5 linked regions of the Mus musculus genome follow. The protein of the gene in region 1 interacts with the protein of each later gene in a pairwise test. Links are inferred from orthologs where the notes say so. Each region holds a gene or a part of one and is shown in the gene's direction. Other genes may lie near its edges.

What was found.
Region 2: the proteins of Phf1 (region 1) and Hsd17b14 interact in binary tests that used the Homo sapiens proteins (3 or more experiments, as listed by UniProt). The two-hybrid records come from large-scale screens. The link is inferred for Mus musculus from reciprocal best matches to the Homo sapiens genes PHF1 and HSD17B14.
Region 3: the proteins of Phf1 (region 1) and Pdlim7 interact in binary tests that used the Homo sapiens proteins (3 or more experiments, as listed by UniProt). The two-hybrid records come from large-scale screens. The link is inferred for Mus musculus from reciprocal best matches to the Homo sapiens genes PHF1 and PDLIM7.
Region 4: the proteins of Phf1 (region 1) and Tfcp2 interact in binary tests that used the Homo sapiens proteins (3 or more experiments, as listed by UniProt). The two-hybrid records come from large-scale screens. The link is inferred for Mus musculus from reciprocal best matches to the Homo sapiens genes PHF1 and TFCP2.
Region 5: the proteins of Phf1 (region 1) and Trim23 interact in binary tests that used the Homo sapiens proteins (3 or more experiments, as listed by UniProt). The two-hybrid records come from large-scale screens. The link is inferred for Mus musculus from reciprocal best matches to the Homo sapiens genes PHF1 and TRIM23.

The regions. Positions count from the first base shown.
Region 1 is NC_000083.6:26,931,916-26,935,928, forward strand, and holds the start of Phf1 (PHD finger protein 1), read left to right. Parts: upstream 1-1,211; 5' UTR 1,212-1,619; intron 1,620-2,278; 5' UTR 2,279-2,294; coding exon 2,295-2,453; intron 2,454-2,538; coding exon 2,539-2,620; intron 2,621-2,715; coding exon 2,716-2,811; intron 2,812-3,138; coding exon 3,139-3,239; intron 3,240-3,333; coding exon 3,334-3,482; intron 3,483-3,556; exon of another isoform or gene 3,557-3,624; coding exon 3,625-3,720; intron 3,721-3,834; coding exon 3,835-3,903; intron 3,904-4,003; coding exon 4,004-4,013. Other genes in the region: Kifc5b (kinesin family member C5B), read left to right, coding at 189-233. UniProt on the Homo sapiens protein: Polycomb group (PcG) that specifically binds histone H3 trimethylated at 'Lys-36' (H3K36me3) and recruits the PRC2 complex. Involved in DNA damage response and is recruited at double-strand breaks (DSBs).
Region 2 is NC_000073.6:45,553,771-45,557,729, forward strand, and holds the start of Hsd17b14 (17-beta-hydroxysteroid dehydrogenase 14), read left to right. Parts: upstream 1-1,157; 5' UTR 1,158-1,208; coding exon 1,209-1,296; intron 1,297-2,284; coding exon 2,285-2,323; intron 2,324-2,542; coding exon 2,543-2,625; intron 2,626-3,837; coding exon 3,838-3,904; intron 3,905-3,959. Other genes in the region: Plekha4 (pleckstrin homology domain-containing family A member 4), read left to right, coding at 1-257. UniProt on the Homo sapiens protein: Catalyzes the NAD(+)-dependent oxidation of L-fucose, yielding L-fucono-1,5-lactone, which rapidly converts spontaneously to L-fucone-1,4-lactone. Can also act on D-arabinose and L-galactose, with lower catalytic efficiency. Does not use NADPH.
Region 3 is NC_000079.6:55,510,644-55,514,894, reverse strand, and holds the start of Pdlim7 (PDZ and LIM domain protein 7), read left to right. Parts: upstream 1-1,448; 5' UTR 1,449-1,528; intron 1,529-2,476; 5' UTR 2,477-2,487; coding exon 2,488-2,583; intron 2,584-4,251. UniProt on the Homo sapiens protein: May function as a scaffold on which the coordinated assembly of proteins can occur. May play a role as an adapter that, via its PDZ domain, localizes LIM-binding proteins to actin filaments of both skeletal muscle and nonmuscle tissues.
Region 4 is NC_000081.6:100,549,209-100,553,425, reverse strand, and holds the start of Tfcp2 (alpha-globin transcription factor CP2), read left to right. Parts: upstream 1-1,417; 5' UTR 1,418-1,516; intron 1,517-1,543; exon of another isoform or gene 1,544-1,944; 5' UTR 1,945-1,979; coding exon 1,980-2,101; intron 2,102-4,217.
Region 5 is NC_000079.6:104,195,839-104,199,348, forward strand, and holds part of Trim23 (E3 ubiquitin-protein ligase TRIM23), read left to right. Parts: intron 1-2,151; coding exon 2,152-2,281; intron 2,282-2,755; coding exon 2,756-2,866; intron 2,867-3,510.

The DNA.
Region 1 (4,013 bases):
TCGTCTTTTCAGTCCGGTCTCTTCCAGGCTTAGTGGACATAGCATCACCATCCCTCCAGGGGGCAGGCTGGACCTGCTTCCATAACAGAGACTTCAGAGATTCAGATGTGGGCCCAGCACGGGGCAGAGTGGGAAGGCTTCTCATCTGTAACCCTTGACCTTGTGTGACCCTGTTTATCTGTCCACAGGTGAACCAGTGTGTCATTGGTACTGCTCAGGCTAATAAGAAGTGAAGTCGGATCCAGAGCCCTTGCAAGCCAGTGCGCATGCGTCTCTGTTTTAGTGTGTATTTATTCGGTGGGGGTGGGTGGGAGTTGAGACATGATATTACTGGGTATTTATTATGTAATAAAGAATAATCTTTTGTATGTTAATCCTTTTCTTAATCTTAGATTTTAAAAAATTGTGTGCAGTTGTTTTGCCTGAGTGTATATGCATGCACCATGTGCATGTCTCCTGCTCCAGTGAGTTCAGAACAGGGCTTCAGGTCCTTCAAGAACTGGGATTATGGAATACATGTGGGTCCTCTGCAAAATCAGTCAGTGCTCTTAACCGCCCAGCCATCTTCCCAGCCCGGCCCTTGTTACAGCTCTAAACGGTTTTATTAACTTAACGGTTTTAGCTGCCAAAGGAAGGTATTGTAAATAAATACTGTAAGCACGTAGAAATGTCCATTGTGATGTGTTTGCAGAGTGAGGCTATGGGCTTTCACTTGGTGGGGCACACTTTGCCGTCCTGATGCCTCTTCTCTACCCTTCGGCACTGGGCCCTCTTAACAATTTCTTAGGACTGCCAGGCCCCAGCCCCAGCCCAGAACAGGAATGCTCTTGTCTGGTGTGACTGCCAGTGCACTCCACAATCTCTTTCTTTCCCTGCCCACCGGTTCGAACCATGGTTCCGTGCCGCCTAGTGCCTATTGGCTGGTGTGGGCACGTCACTAACTCAGTACTAGTTCCAAATAGCCCCTTGTCCTTTCCCTCCCAGGAGGAGCAAACCTACACCAGTGCTCTCGCGGCCGGAGGAGTGGCCGTGTGCCCAGGTGCGGCGCACAGGCGGGGTTACGCGTGCGCAGAAGGGCGGGGCGACAGGCAGCGTGAATGGGGAGGGCGGTGCCGCGTGCGGAGGCGGAGCTTGGAGTGGCCACGGGGGCGGGGCAGCTAACGGATGTGGCATGGGGCGGGGCCCGGCCCTGACCTGCAGGCTAGCTGCCAAGAAGGTTATTTCCTGCTGACCCAGAGCAAGCCTCCCATCCGAAAAAGGGGCTGCAGGGATTTCCTCGACCTCCGCGACCGGCCGCGCCCCCAACAGCGCAGCGCCCTCCGGGCCCGCTGGAGGTGAGGGAGGTGCTGCCTGCCCGTCCCTCTGTCGTCTCCTCCCCCTGGTGCTCCCCACCCTCCACTCTCCTCCCTCCTTCTGTCGACTCCTCCTGCCGCTGCTGCTGCTTTGGCTGCTGCGTCATACGCCCCAGAGCCGCCAGGACGGAGGGGCTGGGCCCGGGGACCCCCTGGCCTCCGCCTGCACGCCCCCCGGCGCTCACACTCAGTCTTCCCGCACCGGAGACTCATCCAGGTCTCTTGAGTCTGACCCTACCTGGCTTCCAGCTGCCCCGGCTGTCACCGGTAAGGAGGAGGCGGGAGGCCTGGAGAGGGGGGCAGGGAGCTGGGGGTCGGTGAGGAAGAAGGGTTGGAGAGCCTCCTGGTCTCAGCTTAGGGTCTGTGCTGGGGCGACTCAAGTCCCTCCTTGGACTGACAGTGTAGGGGAGTAGAGACTTGGACAGGGACACGCCCCCCTCTTGGGGCACTCAGGGAAGTTATCTAATCCCGGGTCAGAGAGCCCCAAATTTGAGGGTGACCTAACATCACCTGGCACCAGGGTGGTGGTTCTAAATAAGACACACAGGCCTGGGGAGGCAGCTGTTTCTACTCGGGAAACGTCTTCAGAAAAGCTCCCAAAACATCTCTGGGCAACAGATTGCCCCATTTAGGATCCCTGTAAACAGCTGGGCAAGGTGAAGCTAAGCGGTAACCTTGATTCCGCAAAGATCATTTCACCTGAGTCCCTAGGAGCTGGGAAACTACAAAACGAGGCAGGGGAGATGGAAAAGAGTAGAGTCGAGAAGCTGACCAGAGCCACCCACCTTTATAGGGCTCAGGATTAGAAGACTGGGGCGTTGGAGCTGCTCCACCAGGAACAGGGTTTCTTTATCCATAAGAGAAAACAACGAGCTCAGGGAAACTTTCTCAGCACCCATAACTCTAACCATCCTATCTTGGAATAGGCCCCCCCAGGATGCAATGGCGCAGCTCCCCCGGCTGAGCCGTTTGGGTGCCCCCTCTCTCTGGGATCCAGCTTCCCCTGCTCCCACCTCAGGCCCCAGACCTCGGCTTTGGGAAGGCCAAGATGTGCTGGCCAGATGGACTGATGGGCTGCTGTACTTGGGTACCATCAAAAAGGTAAGACCCACCTCTGATCTCACTGCCTTCCCAGTCTCCAGTCAGTTCTCATTCCCATTTTAGCATCACTGGGCACCCATTCCAGGTGGACAGTGCTCGAGAGGTGTGTCTGGTCCAGTTTGAGGACGATTCCCAGTTTCTGGTTCTATGGAAGGATATCAGCCCAGGTGAGACCTTCAGACTGAAGCCTGTGACAGCAGAAGCTGGAGTGGGTGGGGACACTGGTTGTTGGTAGGCCTCCTGACACTTTGTTCCCTCACAGCTGCCCTCCCTGGGGAGGAGCTGCTCTGTTGTGTGTGTCGCTCTGAGACCGTGGTACCTGGGAACCGGCTGGTCAGCTGTGAGAAGTGTCGCCATGGTGAGAGGCCAGGATACTTAGGTGGTGCAGTCTGCCCTGGGTCTTCTGGGTTGCCACTAGCCCTGCCTTATAGCATGAGTTATGTCTCCTGTCCTGGCCAGTCTTCACCCTGTCACCACATCTCTCAGAACAGGGCGAGGGAGCCATAGATCAGGTGACCCAGGCCATGCAAAGCTGAGGGGCTTACATTACCTTTCTTAACCGTGCTTCCTTGGGCTAGGCCCTCAGCTGTGAGAAGCTTGTTGACTCACCTGCAGTGTCAGGATAACACACACAGCAGGACTTAGATGCACACAGTGGTCTACCCTCAACATTGTCCTTATTCAGCTTATCACCAGGACTGTCACGTTCCCAGGGCCCCGGCCCCTGGAGAAGGAGAGGGCGCATCCTGGGTATGCCGCCAGTGTGTCTTTGCAATCGCCACTAAGGTAAAGGTGCCTCTCTGCCCCTGTGTGGGAAGCTCCTGTGGTCTCTCCTCCGTTCCTGCCTCTCTGAGGTCTCCATCTGTCTGTCCCTCTGCAGAGGGGAGGCGCACTGAAGAAAGGTCCCTATGCCCGGGCCATGCTGGGCATGAAGCTCTCCCTGCCATACGGATTAAAAGGGCTGGACTGGGATGCTGGACATTTGAGCAACAGACAGCAGAGCTACTGCTACTGTGGAGGCCCTGGAGAGTGAGTGGAGAGGGTGTTGTCAAGCTATGGGATGGGGGTTGTTGTGGTGGCAGAGCCCGGGAAAATGGGTGAACAGGGGGCGAGGGGGCCCTGTGGTTTCAAGAAGGCTGTCTGAGGGCCACAAGCGCTGTCTCCCCTCCAGGTGGAACCTGAAAATGCTGCAGTGCCGGAGCTGCCTCCAGTGGTTCCATGAGGCCTGCACCCAGTGTCTGAGCAAGCCCCTCCTCTACGGAGACAGGTGAGACAGGACATGCACGCATGCTCGGGAGTCCACCTGTGCTCTCCCGCAGTCCTCTGCAGCCGGGGTCAGAGGGCTGAATGAGGTGCATCCTCTGTCCTGGCCCATGTGCAGATTCTATGAATTTGAGTGCTGTGTGTGCCGGGGCGGCCCTGAGAAGGTCCGGAGGTTACAGCTTCGCTGGTGAGATGGGTTGTGATTCATTTCTGTTGTCCACCATGTTACCCTAATGACCCCTGATTTTGATAGCGCCGATGCTGCTGACAATTCCATGCTCCTCCAGGGTGGATGTG
Region 2 (3,959 bases), on another chromosome or scaffold:
CAGGCAGAAATTTGGATACCAGGGGAGACTGTCTCCAGCCAAGCCCACAGCCTCCCAGTGAAGAACTGCCCCAGGTCACCTCGTCCCCAGCTCCTCACAAGGCTACTTCTGCTACCACAGGGTTCTCATGCCAAGGCAGCCGGAGAGGCCTGGCCCCATGGGAGGCCAGGTGGGACCCTGGGAAGGCCCCTCCAGCTCTGACCCAGGAAGAGGGGGCATGGCCCTTCAGAGTCACTCTGCTGCAGTCCAGCTTTTGACTCCCATCTTTATACTGAGCCCTACAAGCTGGAAGCACAACTTTGAGGTGTGGGACCATTCAGGACCACAGGGGAGAGGTTCATTCCAGCATGTATTCTAGGAGGGCCAGGGCCGCTATGGTCAAAGATTGATTTTCCCAACACTGTCCAAAATTGGATGAAAACTTTGAACTATTAGTCAATAAATAGCTTTTATTCTCTCTGTGGTTGTGACATTGTGTTCTGACAAACAAGGGTAAGGGCCCAATCTGCAGTGGTGGCACACGCCTTTTATCCCAGCACTTGGGAGGCAGAGACAGGTGGATTTCTGAGTTTGAGGCTAGCCTGATCTACAGAGTGAGTTCCAGGACAGCCAGGGCTATACAGAGAAACCCTGTCTCGAAAAACAAACAAACAAACAAACAATATGGGTCTGAGGGAGGAGGCTGGAGCCTGAATCAAGCCAGAAGAAGTAGCCCTGGTCTTACAAGTCAAAGGAAAAAAAAAAAAAAAAGAAAAAAAGCCGGGTGTAGTGGCGCACGCCTTTAATCCCAGCCCTTGGGAGGCAAAGGCAGGCGGATTTCTGAGTTCCAGGCCAGCCTGGTCTACAAAGTGAGTTCCAAGACAGCCAGGGCTATACAGAGAAACCCTGTCTCGAAAAACCAAACCAAACCAAACCAAAACAAAACAAAAAAAACAAGTCAAAGGGAGCAAGGCTGAAGTCAGTCTGAGGAGGCAGAGCTGGGGTGAGGGTCCCTGAGTCTGAAGGAGGACTGTCAGTTTGGGTACCCTGGGACTGAAAAAGAAGGGCTAGGAAGGAGAGTCCTCAGTTCTCCCAGGTGTGCCTTCCTAGAAACACCCCCTCCCAAGGTCAGCCTTCAGTGACCCAGCCTGTATATCTGGTTCCACCCCACTGCTTCTCTGGACTGTGGAGGTGGGAAGAGGTCCAGAGGGCGTGGGATACAGCTGGGGATGGCTGCAGTAACCCGATATTCTGGGAAGGTGGTGGTGGTGACTGGAGGCAGCCGGGGCATCGGGGCTGCGATCGTGAGAGCCTTCGGTGAGTAAGGGTCTTCCCGCCTGCTGTCTGAATTGTTGTAGGAGAGAAAGGATGACTGACAGAGGTTCCCAGAGTGGGAGGAGGAGACTCAGGTTCATTTCTGTAATGATTTATTTGTTCTTAAATGATTTGTTTATTTTTATTTTCCTCTGCATTGTTGTTGAATCTGGCTGAGAGTATTAGATCCCTTGGAACTGGAGTTACAAACAGTTGTGAGCTGCCATATGGGCACTGGGAAATGAACCTGGGTCCTTTGGAATAGCAGCCAGTGCTCTTAACTGCTGAGCCATCTCTCCAGTCCCTCAGTCCATTTGGATTGTTGGGTCTTTGCTGATAGGTTGGTCATTAAAAACTCTTCCTTGGGCTGGAGAGATGGCTCAGCGGTTAAGAGCACTGACTGCTCTTCTGAAGGTCCTGAGTTCAATTCCCGGCAACCACATGATGGCTCACAACCATCTGTAATGAGATCTGGCATTTCTGGAGTGTCTGAAGACAGCTACAGTGTACTTACATATAATAAATAAATAAATCTTAAAAAAAAAAAAAAGTTCTTCCACTGGCCTGGCAGTGGTGGCATATACCTTTAATCCCAGCACTTGGGAGGCAGAGGCAGGCGAATCTCTTGAATTTTAGGCCAGCCTGATCTACAGAGTGAGCTCAGAACAGCCAGGACCATACAGAGCAACTCTGTCTCAAAAATATAAAAATAAAAAAAAAAATCTTCCCTGGATCGGTTCCTAGCTGCAAATGATAGCTTTGAGAGTATTATTGCCTATCGGTTTGGGATTTTTCTAGAATCCAGGATGGGGGCCAACAGCAGCTTAATGAAAAAGGTTATTTGTTGCAAGATTCTGCTCTTGTAAGAGGACTGAAGCCAGTCACAAGAGCCGCTGGAGTGGCAGGTGCTCTGGGTGGTGGCCAGCAGAGGGCACCAGAGATGGTGAGGAAAGTCTGCAGGGCTTGTAACCTTGTTCTCTTCTTTTGGCAGTGGACAGTGGGGCTCAAGTGGTTTTCTGTGACAAGGATGGTGAGTGATTCAGTGTTCGATTCTCCCTTGCCTCCTCCATCGAAAGGGATCCGCGCCTAGCTCTCCTCCCTTGAACCCAGCTCTGCTTCCTCGGACCCAGGAATTCAAGTCCTGGCTTTCTTCCCTCCCATCCAGGGCTCTTCCCTAGCCCTCTACCCTCAGACTCTGGTGTCCAAGCCTCAGCTCTCCTTCCTCAGACCCAAAATCTTTCTCCTGCAGAGGCTGGGGGCCGGGCTCTGGAGCAGGAACTCTCGGGCACTGTTTTTATCCCCGGTGACGTGACACAGGAAAGAGATTTGCAGGTGAGTGTTTTCTGTCCCACACCTGGTCTCCAGTCCCTCTTTCCAGCTACCCATGCCCAGGACAGCTCAGTCCCTCTGCCCTGCTCTCCCTCCCATCTTTAGGAATGAACAAAACACTTGCTTCCTGTATCAAATTTCTGACTTCCCTGCACTCAGAATCTGTTATGTGCCTCCAGGTTTAGCCCCAGTCTGGGCCTCTGTCTCTCTGTCTGTGTATCTCAGCTCCCCACCACCCTCAGGGTCTGTAGACCCTCCTTCTGAGGCTCTGCCTTATACACACACCCCTCTCCAAAGTTTTCTAAGGTGGTGTGCTGATAAGTGTTATATCAACTCTACCCAAGCTACAGTCATTTGGGAAGAGGAAATCTCACTAGAAAATGGCCCCACCAAATTGGCATGTGGGCAAACCTGCTGTTCATTTTCTTTTTTCTTTTTTCCCAAGATAGGGTTTCTCTGTGTAGCCCTGGCTGTCCTGGAACTCATTCTGTAGATCAGGCTGGCCTTGAACTCAGAAATCCGCCTGCCTCTGCCTCCCAAGTGCTGGGATTAAAGGCATGTGCCACCACTGCCCTGCTCAATTTCTTTTTCTTTTTTTTTCTTTTTTTTCGAGACAGGGTTTCTCTGTATAGCCCTGGCTGTCCTGGAACTCACTTTGTAGACCAGGCTGGCCTCAAACTCAGAAATCTGCCTGCCTCTGCCTCCCAAGTGCTGAGATTAAAGGCGCTCATTTTCTTAATTAGTGGTTGGTGTGGGAGTTTCCCTAGCTCCCTGGGGGGTTGTGACATCGCTGGGCAGGTGGTCCTGGAGGCCTGGAGAGTATAAGGAAAGGGGCTGAACGAGCCAAGGGAGCAAGCCAGTGAGCCTCTGCTTCAGTCCTTGCCTTGAGTTTCTGTCTTGAGCCCTCTGTCACTGGCTTCCCTCAGTGACAGAGTGTGACCTGGGAGCTGTAGGCAGACATAAATCCTCTCCTCTCCAGGTCACTTTTGGCCATGGTGTTTATCACAGTGATAGAAACACTAGCTGTGACAAACGGCAACTGCACTATGTCCCTTAGTTCTTTTAGTCTGGGTCCTCAGCTTCCTGCATCCTCCCCTCTCCCCCTCGCTCCACCTTGTCTTCCTCAGCTGAGCCCATCCTTGCCTTGGGCCTACTGGCTTTTCCAAGACTACTGTCACCTCTCAGCTCATCACCTGCTCTTTCTTCTCTCCTCAGACTCTGGTTTCTGAGACCCTCTCTCGATTTGGTCACCTGGATTGTGTGGTGAATAACGCTGGCTACCGTAAGTTGTATGGCTTGGGGGCTAGGGTCCCTGCATCTACTTATACCCTGACCCC
Region 3 (4,251 bases), on another chromosome or scaffold:
AGCTGGAAGATCTGGGAACCCATGCAAGTTCAAGCCAGTCTACCCAAGGAGACCTTATTTTATGCGTATGGGCGTTTTCCCTGCATGCATATGTGCGCTATGTGTGCACCAGATGCCTAGAGAGGTCAGAAGAAGGCGCTGTATCTGGGGGGGTGGGGGTGGGAAGAAGAAGATAGAAATGAAGGAATGGAAAAAGAAAAAACCCCTGATCAACCTGGTGTAGACCAGCATTCCTGTCAGAACAGGATGAAACCTGAAGGCTGCAGCTGACTTAATTGAGGTCATAGAAGACCTGGAGAAAGAGTCAATAGTATAGGGGACGAGGGACAAAGAGGGAAACGTGATGGAGACAGAAGCATAGCAGATAGCTAAAGAGGGTGGTTTTGTTTTTTTGGTTTTTTTTTTTCTTCAGTTTTTCGAGACACGGTTTCTCTGTGTAGCCTTGGCTGTCCTGGAACTCACTACATAGATCAGTCAGTCTGGCCTTGAACTCAGAGACCCACCTGAAGAGGATTTCTTCAAGGATGACAACTCCCATAAGAATTTATGTACTTGGGACAATGATGGGGAAGAGGGGGTGTGATGATGGGGGGGCTGGGCAAGGGGAGGCTGTGCACCTCTCTACTGACTCAAACATTCAGGAGAGCTCAGCTTTTCCTTCTGCCCACCCTTGGCTAAGACCGAGGCTAAAGCAGGGGCTCTGAGAACACTCCGTGGCAGCCCCTTCCATCCCAACCGCATTGGAAGAACTGTGTACTCTGGACTGGGGTTAAATGGGAAACAATCCATTCCAATAGTGGTTCTGGGGGCTCTGGGTGGAAGTCCCATGGCTGTGGACTCTACTTACACCGTCAGACAACAAGTGGCGCTAAGCCCGCCCCCGTTGGCTCTTACTATGTATGTATTTACTTGTTTGTTATATCCTGCAAGCCTTTGGTTGGGTTTGGTGTTGAGGACTGAAACAAGGGCCTCCAGAGAGCTTAGCTACTGAGCTCCACCACTAAGCTACATCCCGAACACCAGGAAGCCTAACTTGAAACTACCCTATCTCGCTTCTCCAGTTCCTAGAGAATCTGAAATCTGATGATGCTGACAATATTGACCTCTAACAGTATCCCTAACAGAAAAGTGTTACCATGCCATTTTCCTCTACAAGAGAATACGGTGAGAGATCAATCAACTCTGGGGTTTCAAACGGATGCTTTCCTCCACTCCGCCAGTGGGAGGCGCAAGGGGCTTGGGCGAGAGCCTGAAGCGGGGCACAGGCTGGGCAGCGACCCGACTGGCGAGGGTAAGTGCCCGATCTCACCTTCCCTCTCCTGGAGACTCAGGGTTTTTTGACTGGGTGGGGCCTCCCACCGACCCCGGGATGTCCACTCGTTTGGCCTGGGGAGGGCGTGGCCTAGGGCTCCGCCCCCTTCCGCGGGCTCAAAAGGCGCGGCGTCCGCGGAGGCGGGGTCAGAGCGCAGCGGCGGATCCCATCGCTGCTCCCGGAGGCTGCCAGGCAGCGGCCCAGGCGGGCACTCAGGTACCGGCGTCCGCGAGGGGGTTCCTGGCCTGCACCCTACGGGGTCCTATGGCCCGCTGAGGCGCTGGGGAGGGCGTGGGTGGTCGTGAAGAGTGCCAGATTCCCTCGGCTGGCTTCGGCCGCAGCCTCCGCCCCCGCCTTCCTGCGGCGAAGTGGGGCTGATTGGCGCCTGCGCCACTGTGTGCGGTGGGGACGCGGCCAAGCGCGGGGCTGGGGCGGGAGACGAAGGGAAACAGAGTCATGTTGGCAAGGGAGCATCGTGCGTGGGTGGCACCACTTTCTCTGGCTTCCAGAAAGGATCCCCTCTCTGGCCGTGCGTAAGGGACACGGCCCCCGTCGCTCTCTACAGGACCAGTACCCCGTTTTTCTTTTCCCCTTTCAGAGACCAGGGGTCCCGCCCTGACCACCAGCAGCCTCGACCTGTCCCAAAATGGCTAGGACCCGCTCCAGCGTCCTCCTTCTCCACCCCTCCCCCTCATATCCCGAGCCCCTAACGTGCTCCCTCCTCGGGCTCTCTACAGTGTCAGCTTACACGCCTTATATAGTCCGAGCAGGCTCCGGCGGCGGCCTGCCTGCCGGGACCCGGGGAAGGAGGGGGAGCTGGCCCCTGACTCACCCCGCCACCCTCCTGAGATTCCAGGTTAGCTTGGGCAAAGCAGTGCCAATTAGCCCCACAGCCAACCCCTGGAAGAGAAAAGCACCTGAGCTCGGAGAGGCCTCTCCAGGCCCTCCCGGTGGCAGGGGGCAGGGTGGGGAACCACCTTGTCTGTTGTCTGTGAGAGGTCGGCCTGCCAGGAGCCCAGCCAAGCCAGCTGAGATACCTGCCTCCCAGTGCCTGTGTGTGTTGAGCGTCCGCCCGTGCCTTCTTGGTGCCTGGCCAACGCTAGTGCCCAGATCTGGACCTGCCTGCCAATTTGCATTGCAGACACTTTCTCTTCTTCCTCACAGGAGCAGGCACGATGGATTCCTTCAAGGTGGTGCTGGAAGGGCCAGCCCCTTGGGGCTTCCGTCTGCAAGGGGGCAAGGACTTCAATGTGCCCCTCTCTATCTCTCGGGTGAGCCTAGGTGGGGGAACAAACTCCCCAAGGGTTCTTGGGTGCTCAGGTTTCCAGAGGATCATGGGAGGAAACAGCAGGAGCAAGCCAGGACCAATAAGGCAGGAGTATCCAGGTCCAAATGGACACTTAACTACCAGGACTCCCAACTAGGTGGAGAGTAGAGAGGCACTCCCAACTTCCCTACTTTGACATGGTATTTGATGCTCTCCCACCAAGCCATCTGTGAGTGACAAGGGGGAGCCTGTTCCTTCGGTATTGGAGGCTGATGTCTCCAAGAAGTATCTTACTTAGCTAGGAGAGCAGCCTGTGGAGCCAGGTCCCCAGCAGGATGTAACTTTAATTCCAGTTATTCAAGGAATAGCAGTTGTCATCCTGTTTCCCCAAGTGACAGAGCTTGGTGGGCTGGAGGAGCCCATTCAGTAAGTCCACTGCAGAGCAAGGGTTTGAACTGAGGCACAAAAACGGCTTGTACTCTCTGTACGGTCAAGGCCAACGGGGAACTCTTCCCGCCCTGTGTGAGGACTGAGTCCCAGTCAGCTGGCTCTAGTCAGGCTGTGTGGCCTTTGACCCCAAGCCTAGGTGTAGTGAGGCTGGCCTGTAGAATTCCTGTTCCCATTCCTCAGTCCACCCTGGTGAGGAGGGTGGAGCTGGGAACTGACTCCTCCCTGAGGCAGGGGGATTACCTTATAAGCCCAAGAATGCGGGCCCCAGTTGGGATGGCCAGCAGTGGCTAGTCAACAGAGCCCAAGAGGGCTGGCCTAAGTCTAGGCCCCTTACCTGGCCCTCAGTCATTGGTGTCAGTAGGACTCAAAGCAAACTTTGTGCCCAGCCTTCCAGCTTGGTATCTCTGACTGGCCTAGGGGGTCAAAAAGGGGGCAGGGACTTCCTTCCCTGATATCCGCCTGCCTAGAGAGGCCCACCCAGCCACTGTGTAGGCAGGCAGCTGCTGGCAGGAAGCCCAGGGCAAGCCCAGCCCAAAGGGGCCTGAGAATTTCCAGGCACTGCCCAGCCTGAGTAGGGTATCAAGGCTGGTTCTCTCTGTGGGAGCCAGACATGGTGGACAGGGCAGGCAGGCATGCATGCTGTGTTCTTCCCAGAATCCTTCTCTGGAATTGCTTTGGAATCTGCTCCAACCAGCAGGATGACTAAGGGCTATCTAGACCCTTCCCCCACGCGTACATCCTACGGGTTTCTTCCTCCCCTCTGGGAAAGTGCTGGCCAGTGTAGTGTAGGTCTTAAGTTTTCTTCATTGGTAAGGAAGGCCCTGCAGATGTTGCCTTTTGGGGGCACTCTGCTGGCCCCTGCTGGCCCCTGGCCTCCTTTGTCAGCAGCTTTAACCTGTGGGTGGGGCCACCCGCTGAGTCCTGCCCTGGAGTGAGTTAGGCCCTGATGGGTGGGGTGGTCTTTTCTAAATTGGGCCAGCCCGCTATCCCTCCCCTGACCCCAGAGTGGAGGGAGGAAGGAGGGGCTAGGGCTGGCTGTGGGCCCAGGCCTGGAAGATGAGGTAATGTCTGGGATTTGGGGGTTGGGCTGCTCAGTGGAGCTCCCAGGCTGACTCACCCACACCCATAACACTGTCCAGTCCCCTGGCTTTTCCCCTCCTTAATCTCACTAGCCTCTCTTTCCCTGTGGTGCTCTGACCACCAGCTTAGCCCTCACATTTTG
Region 4 (4,217 bases), on another chromosome or scaffold:
ATGTAAGCCACCATACCAAGTCATTTCCCTATCTCTCCTGAGGTAGAAACTCAGTGGGAGAAGTAGTTATATACAAATCTAAGTCAAAGCAGACTATAAGGATATTGTGTTGGCATACAGAACGAAGCACACTTCCACAGACAGGGGATGTCTTTGGCCGGCAGAGGCATGTTTATCATGACAATTTAGTTCTAGCCTTACCTTTCTGTTTGGTAAAATAAGTGACATTTACCTTTAGAATTTTTTTTTTTTTAAGATGGGAGGCAGAGGCAGGCAGATCTTTTGACTTCAAGGCCAGTCTGGTGACCTAAGGACCCTAGTGGTATACAGAGTTCCAAGACAGCCCAGGCGACAAAAAGAACCCTGTCTCAACAAACGAGCAAACAATGACTAGAGATGCTAGGTAGACCTGGCTGTTATGGAAATTGCTATGTAGTCTAGACTGTTCTTGAACTTGTGGAGATCCTTCTGCCTCAGCCTACTGAGTGCTAGGTTTTTAGGAACACACAATGCCCTTTTAGGAAGGGATTACAACCCTGTCTTGAGGACTTCTGCAATACTGTTCATAGCATACAGGTATTTTGCCCGTGCTTAATTTTAAAAATGGCCGTAATTAATCCTCAGGAGCAAGGTGGAGGAGGTATGATTTCACCTCCTGCTCCAGGGTCTTCATTATCTAGCCCTGGCTCACCTGGAAATCAGATCTGCCTGCCTCTGTCTCTGGAGTGCTGGGATCAAAGGCATGAACCACTATGCCTGGCTATGGTTGTTCTTGATTTACAGTTTAGTAAATTCAATCTCTTGGAGAATACTCTTAAGTTATCATACTATAAATAAAGATGCCAGCTCTGACTTTGCTCTGCAGATTTTTCCCCAACACTCATTCATCATTGCCTAAAACAAACAAAAACAAAACATCAAAGAACCAACCAAACAGAAACAAAACAACAAGCAAGGTGTAGTGTGCACGCTTTTGATCCTAGCACTCAGGCTGGGGGTGTGGATCTCTCAGTTCTGGGTCAGCTAAAGTTACCTAAAGACCCCGTCTGAACATCAACAAAAACCCCAATAGTTTTCCCTGTTTCCTGCGCGAATGCCTTAGGGAGAAGGGTGAAGATAAGGGAAGGCAAATGGGGAGAGTTTAGGACTGGACACACGGGAACGAAAGTCCCTCCGGGAATGGGAGCGGGAAGCGGAAAGATAGAACCGCAGTTCTGCTCTACTGTCAGGACCGAGAGCCTGCGACCCGGGTTCACGCCTAAGCACTGAGCCCGCCCACTACTCCGGGGGCGGAAGCCTTCGCGTCGATAGCCTATCACCGCTGCGAAGACAGAACCAGTCTCTTCTTCATTGGTAGATGGATGGTGACGTTGCGCCATGGCCGTAGCGGACGTCCTGATTGGTTGGCGCTGGGGGCGGGTTTGCGCTTCGAGTCTGCGCCGAACTTTCGCTGTCCACGCTTCCAGGCGGTCGTGGTGGCTAAGGAGGGTGTGGGGACGGCTCGGAGGAACCCTGGGTTTGTGCTGAGAGCGGAGTGGGGGGGCGGGGAGAAGAATCGGTGACCGGAAGTTATCTGGTTGACCGGAAGCGAGGCCTGAGGGAAAGTGCGGATGCCCGGAGGGAGGAGCTTTCCACCTAGGGGGGCGGAGGGGACGCTCGGAGCGCCCGGTGTCCTGCGCGTCTCCGCTTTGAGGCTGAGCGGAGGACGCCGAGCGACCGACCGGTGGGCTTCAGAGAGCCCGAGTCCGGCTGAGCTCCGGCGGGACCTGGTGCCTCACGATCCCGAGAGCCGAACGGGAGGGATTCCTGTCACCGGGGCTCCCGAGGAGTAGCCAGGGTGCAGCCCGTAGGTCAGGCTTGGGGCGCTGCGCGAGGAGCTGGGTTTGTAGCTGACTTCCACTGTGCTGTCTGCCGGGTAGAGTTACGCTCCGCGCCTTTGTACAGGAGCCGGCGCCTGTTGGGGCAAGGAAGGAGCCGGGATGGCCTGGGCTCTGAAGCTGCCGCTAGCCGACGAAGTGATCGAGTCGGGGCTTGTGCAGGACTTTGATGCTAGCCTGTCCGGCATTGGCCAGGAACTGGGTGCTGGTGCTTATAGTATGAGGTGAGTGAGATGCCTCCCAGACCTTACCTTCTTAATAACAAAGGCAGGATCTTGAAAGGTGGGAGGGCGGCTGTACAGTTTAAGAGAACAGCCTGCAGCTTGGTGGGCAGATTACCCCCCCCCTTACACCTCCCTACCTCCCCCATCCTCTGGTTTGAGTAGTAGTGGTATGGGAGGACAGGAAAGACTCTAGAGTCAACTCTGTAGGGCCCTTGCATCCAGATGGTGTAGGAGACTTGGACACTGACTGTATGCTTGGGTATGTCTGGATTCACGTGAAGAAGGGGCAGTTGAGGGATATCTAAAGAAGTCCGGCAGCTGGGAACTGAGGTTCAAGGTTGACGACTTGTTGGGAAGAGATGGGATACCTTGGACAAGAAGTCCACAGACAGCTGTCTCTTACAACAGACTTGTTTTAAGGTTTTCTTCCAGGGTTCCTGTCTTTGGAAACTTGAGCTGAGAATGTCTAAAAAGTGACAAAGAGGCGCACGCCTTTGATCCCAGCACTCGGGAGGCAGAGGCAGGCGGATTTCTGAGTTCGAGGCCAGCCTGGTCTACAGAGTGAGTTCCAGGACAGCCAGGACTACACAGAGAAACCCTGTCTTGAAAAAACAACAACAACAAAAAAAACCCCAACAACAACAACAAAAAGACAAAAGAAAGACGAGAGTACTAGTGCACAACTGAAATACCAGCACCCAGCACTCAGCAAGAGGGGGATTAGGAGCTCAAGACCATGTTTGGCTACATAGTAAAAAATGGCACCGATAACTTTTTGATGTTCCTAAGCACCTATGCATCAGGCAGAAATATCCTTTTGTTAGGGAAGATGGGTGGGAAACACTGCCCCCCACTGCTGGGAGTTTTCTTCCTCTCAGGAATCACAGCTTAGGGAAAGCTGGAATTTTTTTTATTATTTATTTATTTTTTTGAGACAGGGTTTCTCTATGTAGCCCAGGTTGGCCTGGAACTCAGAGATCTGCCTGCCTCCGCCTCCCAAGCGCTGAGATCAAAGGTGTGAATCACCACAGCCCAGCCTAAAGCTGGATTTTTGACTGTGCCACAGAGAAAGAATTCAGGATAAGTTACTGTGAAGCAGAGTTGGAGTTTATTTAAAGGTCTTCAACAACCATGGGGTCTAAGGCAAAATGAGGTGTGCGCAGGAAAGAAAGGCACACCAGGGAGTGGGGTTCAGGCTTCTCAAAGGGATCATCGCTGTCTTTACAGTAACTATATTTAGTGTTTTTGAAGGCGCCTGAAGTTGTACTTGACAGAATTTTTAAGAAACCTTATAACAGGCCTTGGATCATGCATGGGATTCCTCTTAGGTCCCAAAAGTTTCAGAAATTAAAATGTTTTTTAACTGTCAACAAAAATTTAGCCTTGTTTTGGCGATTGGCAGAAAATACCTGAGAAAGTGGGACGACTATGTTTGAAGGTGACATGGGCTTGGGTTCTAACGTGGATCATTGCCATTTTAGCTTTCTTCTCTAGATAAAGGAATTTTATTTCTTTGTTGATAGTCTTCAGATAAAATATAGTTACTTGTGTTGGAATTTTCCCCTTCCATTTATGTGTGTGTGTGTGTGTGTGTGTGTGCACACCTGCGCCCCATGGCATTTGTGGAGGTCAAGGGGCAGCGTTCAGGAATTGATTTTTGTCCTTCCACTGTGTGGATTCTAGGATGGAACTCAGACTCTCACAGTCTTGGTGGCAAGGACCTTGAATCATCAACTAATTGATTCTTTAGCCACACTCCTTTTTCCTTCCCATTTTCCTATAAGTTTTATTGTCTTTCTCTCCTGTTGTAATTTCCCCTTTGAGACTTTTTTAAAATTATTTTTAAGATTATTTATTTATTATAAATAAGTACACTGTAGCTGTTCTCAGATACTCCAGAAGAGGGCATCAGATTTCGTTACGGATGGTTATGAGCCACCATGTGGTTGCTGGGATTTGAACTCGGGACCTTTGGAAGAGCAGTGGGCGCTCTCAACCACTGAGCCATCTCGCCAGCCCCCCCTCCCCCCTTGAGACTCTTAAGGCTAAAAACCTGTTTTCTAGAACTACTTTGGTGTTGGATAGTGATGCAGACCCTACGTATGCAGGGAGCAAA
Region 5 (3,510 bases), on another chromosome or scaffold:
AGCATTGGCAATAGTGTCTGGGTTTGGTGATTGCATATGGGATGGATCCCCAGGTGCACAGTCTCTAGATGGCCTTTTCTTCAGTGTCTGCTCTACACTTTGTCTACATATTTGCTCCCATGAGTATTTTGTTCCCCTTTCTAAGAAGGACTGAAGCACCCACACTTTGGTCTTCCTTCTTCTTGAGCTTCATGTGGTCTGTGAATTATCTCTTGGGTATTTGAAGCTTTTGGGCTAATATCCACTTATCAGTGAATATACACCATGTGTGTTCTTTTGTGATTGGATTACCTGACTCAGGAAGTATTTTCTAGTTCCATCCATTTGCATAAGAATTTCATGAACTCACTGTTTTTAATAGCTGAGTAGTACTCCATTGTTTAAATGTACATTTTCTTCATCCTTTCCTCTGTTGAGGGACATCTGTGTTGTTTTCAGCTTCTGGCTATTATAAATAAGGCTGCTATGAACATAGTGGAGCATGTGTCCTTGTTATATGTTGGAGAATCTATTGGGTATATGCCCAGAAGTGGTTTAGCTGAATCCTCAGGTAATACTATGTCCAGTTTTCTAAGGAAACTCCAGACTGATTTCCAGGGTGGTTGTACAAGCTTGCAATCCCACCAACAGTGTAGGAATGTTCTTCTTTCTCCACATCCTCACCAGCATCTGCTGTCACCTGAGTTTTTGATCTTAGCAATTCTGACTGGTGTGAAGTGGAATCTCAGGGTTGTTTTGATTAAAATTTCCCTGATGACTAAGGATGTTGAACATTTGTTTAGGTGCTTCTCAGCCATTCAGTATTCCTCAGTTTCTTTGAGAATTCTTTGTTTAGCTTTGTACCCCATTTAAAAAAAAAAAGATTTATTTATTATATGTAAGTACACTGTAGCTGTCTTCAGACACTCCAGAGAGGGCATCAGATTTTGTTACGGTTGGTTATGAGCCACCATGTGGTTGCTGGGATTTGAACTCAGGACCTTTGGAAGAGCAGTCGGCGCTCTTAACCACTGAGCCATCTCGCCAGCCCCCTGTACCCCATTTTTTAATAGGGTTATTTGGTTCTCTGGAGTCTAACTTCTTGAGTTCTTTGCATATTTTGGATATTAGCGATGTAGGCTTGGTAAAGATCTTTTCCCAATCTGCTGGTTGCCATTTTGTCCTGTTGACAGTGTCCTTTGCCTTACAGAAGCTTAGCAATTTTATGAAGTCCCATTTGTCTATTGTTGATCTTACAGCATAAGCCATTGGTGTTCTGTTCAGAAACTTTTCTCCTGTGCCCATGTGTTCGAGGGACATAGCAATTTCTTACAGACAACTGTTCACCCTATTGTAATTTATTAGCACAGTATAAAAAATGTTATTAAGAGAAGATTCAGTTGTGGATTTGAACAAATAAAAGTGGGTATATGGCTGGGCAGTGGTGGTGCACGCCTTTAATTCCAGCACTCGGGAGGCAGAGGCAGGCGGATTTCTGAGTTCGATGCCAGCCTGGTCTACAGAGTGAGTTCCAGGACAGCCAGGACTACACAGAGAAACCCTGTCTCGAAAAAAACCAAAAAACAAAAAGAAACAAAAGTGGGTATATGTATTTCAATTTATATAAGACAGTTATAATTTTTTATTTTTTTTTATTTTTTTATTTTTATTTTTATTTTTTTTTAAGATTTATTTATTTATTATATGTAAGTACACTGTGGCTGTCTTCAGACACACCAGAAGAGGGCATCAGATCTTGTTACAGGTGGTTGTGAGCCACCATATGGTTGCTGGGATTTGAACTCATGACCTTCGGAAGAACAGTCGGTGCTTTTACCCGTTGAGCCATCTCACCAGCCCCCAGTTATAATTTTTTAAGAACACTTTTGTTCATGAGGAGAATTTATTTTGATGAGACTGTTCGATTTAGAGCTCACTGATTACAGTGAGCTGAAGAAGGAATATGAGGCATGAAAATAATAAAGGTACTTTATAACTAAAAATGAAATTCTAGCATAGTGGCCTATGACTGTAACCTAACGTCATGAGTTTGAGGCAAGTGTGGGCTGTATGGGAAGTTTGAGATCAGCCTGGGTTTACACATGGGTTAAAAACAAAAAGAAAAAGCATAAATATTGTTATATTCTGACTTCCAATTTTTCAAATCCACAGGACAATAGAGTTCATATTGGACCCAAAATGGAAATCCGAGTAGTCACATTAGGATTAGATGGTGCTGGAAAAACTACCATTTTGTTCAAGTTAAAACAAGATGAATTTATGCAACCTATTCCAACAATTGGTAAGTTTGAATATTGATAGGCAACTGACTTATAGCTAGCTGGGTTCTCTGATGAAGTTATTGCTATTCAGGTGACTCTTTTCTGGCGCTAAGACATTATTGTTTCAGAGGGGGAGATGAGATCATGGTTGTGAGGCTGAAAGATGCATGGTGACATAGCAAAAAGGACTGAATGTTGCTGAGACAGTCAGAGGGAATGGGGGCTTAGACAATCTGACAGTGTTAGGAGTGAGGAGGGCAGCAGTACAGAGCTGGCAGGTGTTTGAAAGGATTGGGGAAATTGTAGACAGGTAGCAGCTATTAAAGGCAGACATCCCCAGAGACTAGCAGTAGAGTTTATTTGGGTTCAGTAGTTATTGCTATAAGGAGACAACTGCTAACTCAAAACTATGAATAGAGATTTTCTTATGATTAGTGTGTCATTCATTGTTAAACTTAAATACAATATAAAATAATGTTTTGACAAAATAACAGGTTTTAATGTGGAAACTGTGGAATACAAAAATCTAAAATTCACCATTTGGGATGTGGGTGGAAAACACAAATTAAGACCATTGTGGAAACATTATTACCTCAATACACAAGGTAAGAGTCAAGATTGATATTCTTTATTAAACTTAAAAATATTCTTAAAATGAGTATATAAGTGCTCTGATTTAATTAGCAAGACTGTTATTTAAATTGTAGAATTTGAGAGGGAGGAAGATATAAATGTATTTTATTTTAATTGAAAAAATAACAGAACTGCAATATGTACTTTTAGTATACTCTCATGATAGGCCATTATTATTGTTATTATTATTATTATTATTTTGGTTTTTTCGAGACAGGGTTTCTCTATATTGCCCTGGCTGTCCTGGAACTCACTCTGTAGACTAGGCTGGCCTCAAACTCAGAAATCCGCCTGCCTCTGCCTCCCAAGTGCTGGGATTAAAGGCGTGCACCACCATTATTATAGAATAAAAAACAGACTTAGCTTCTCTTGGCTGTTATTAATGTTGAAGTCTATTATCAGTATTCCTATTGGTGTGGCTGCTGACAGTAAGGTAGCATGAAGTTGAATTTGTGGAGTACATGTGTACTCTGAGGTCAACATTTAATCTACTATAATTGTCCAAGAACACTACATCATGATTTATAATTAATGCACTCCCAGAGGACTATTGAGGCTTTGTTTTGGCTAGGCACCAAGGGGCACATATCCCAGTGTTCCATCTAGACTTACTTCA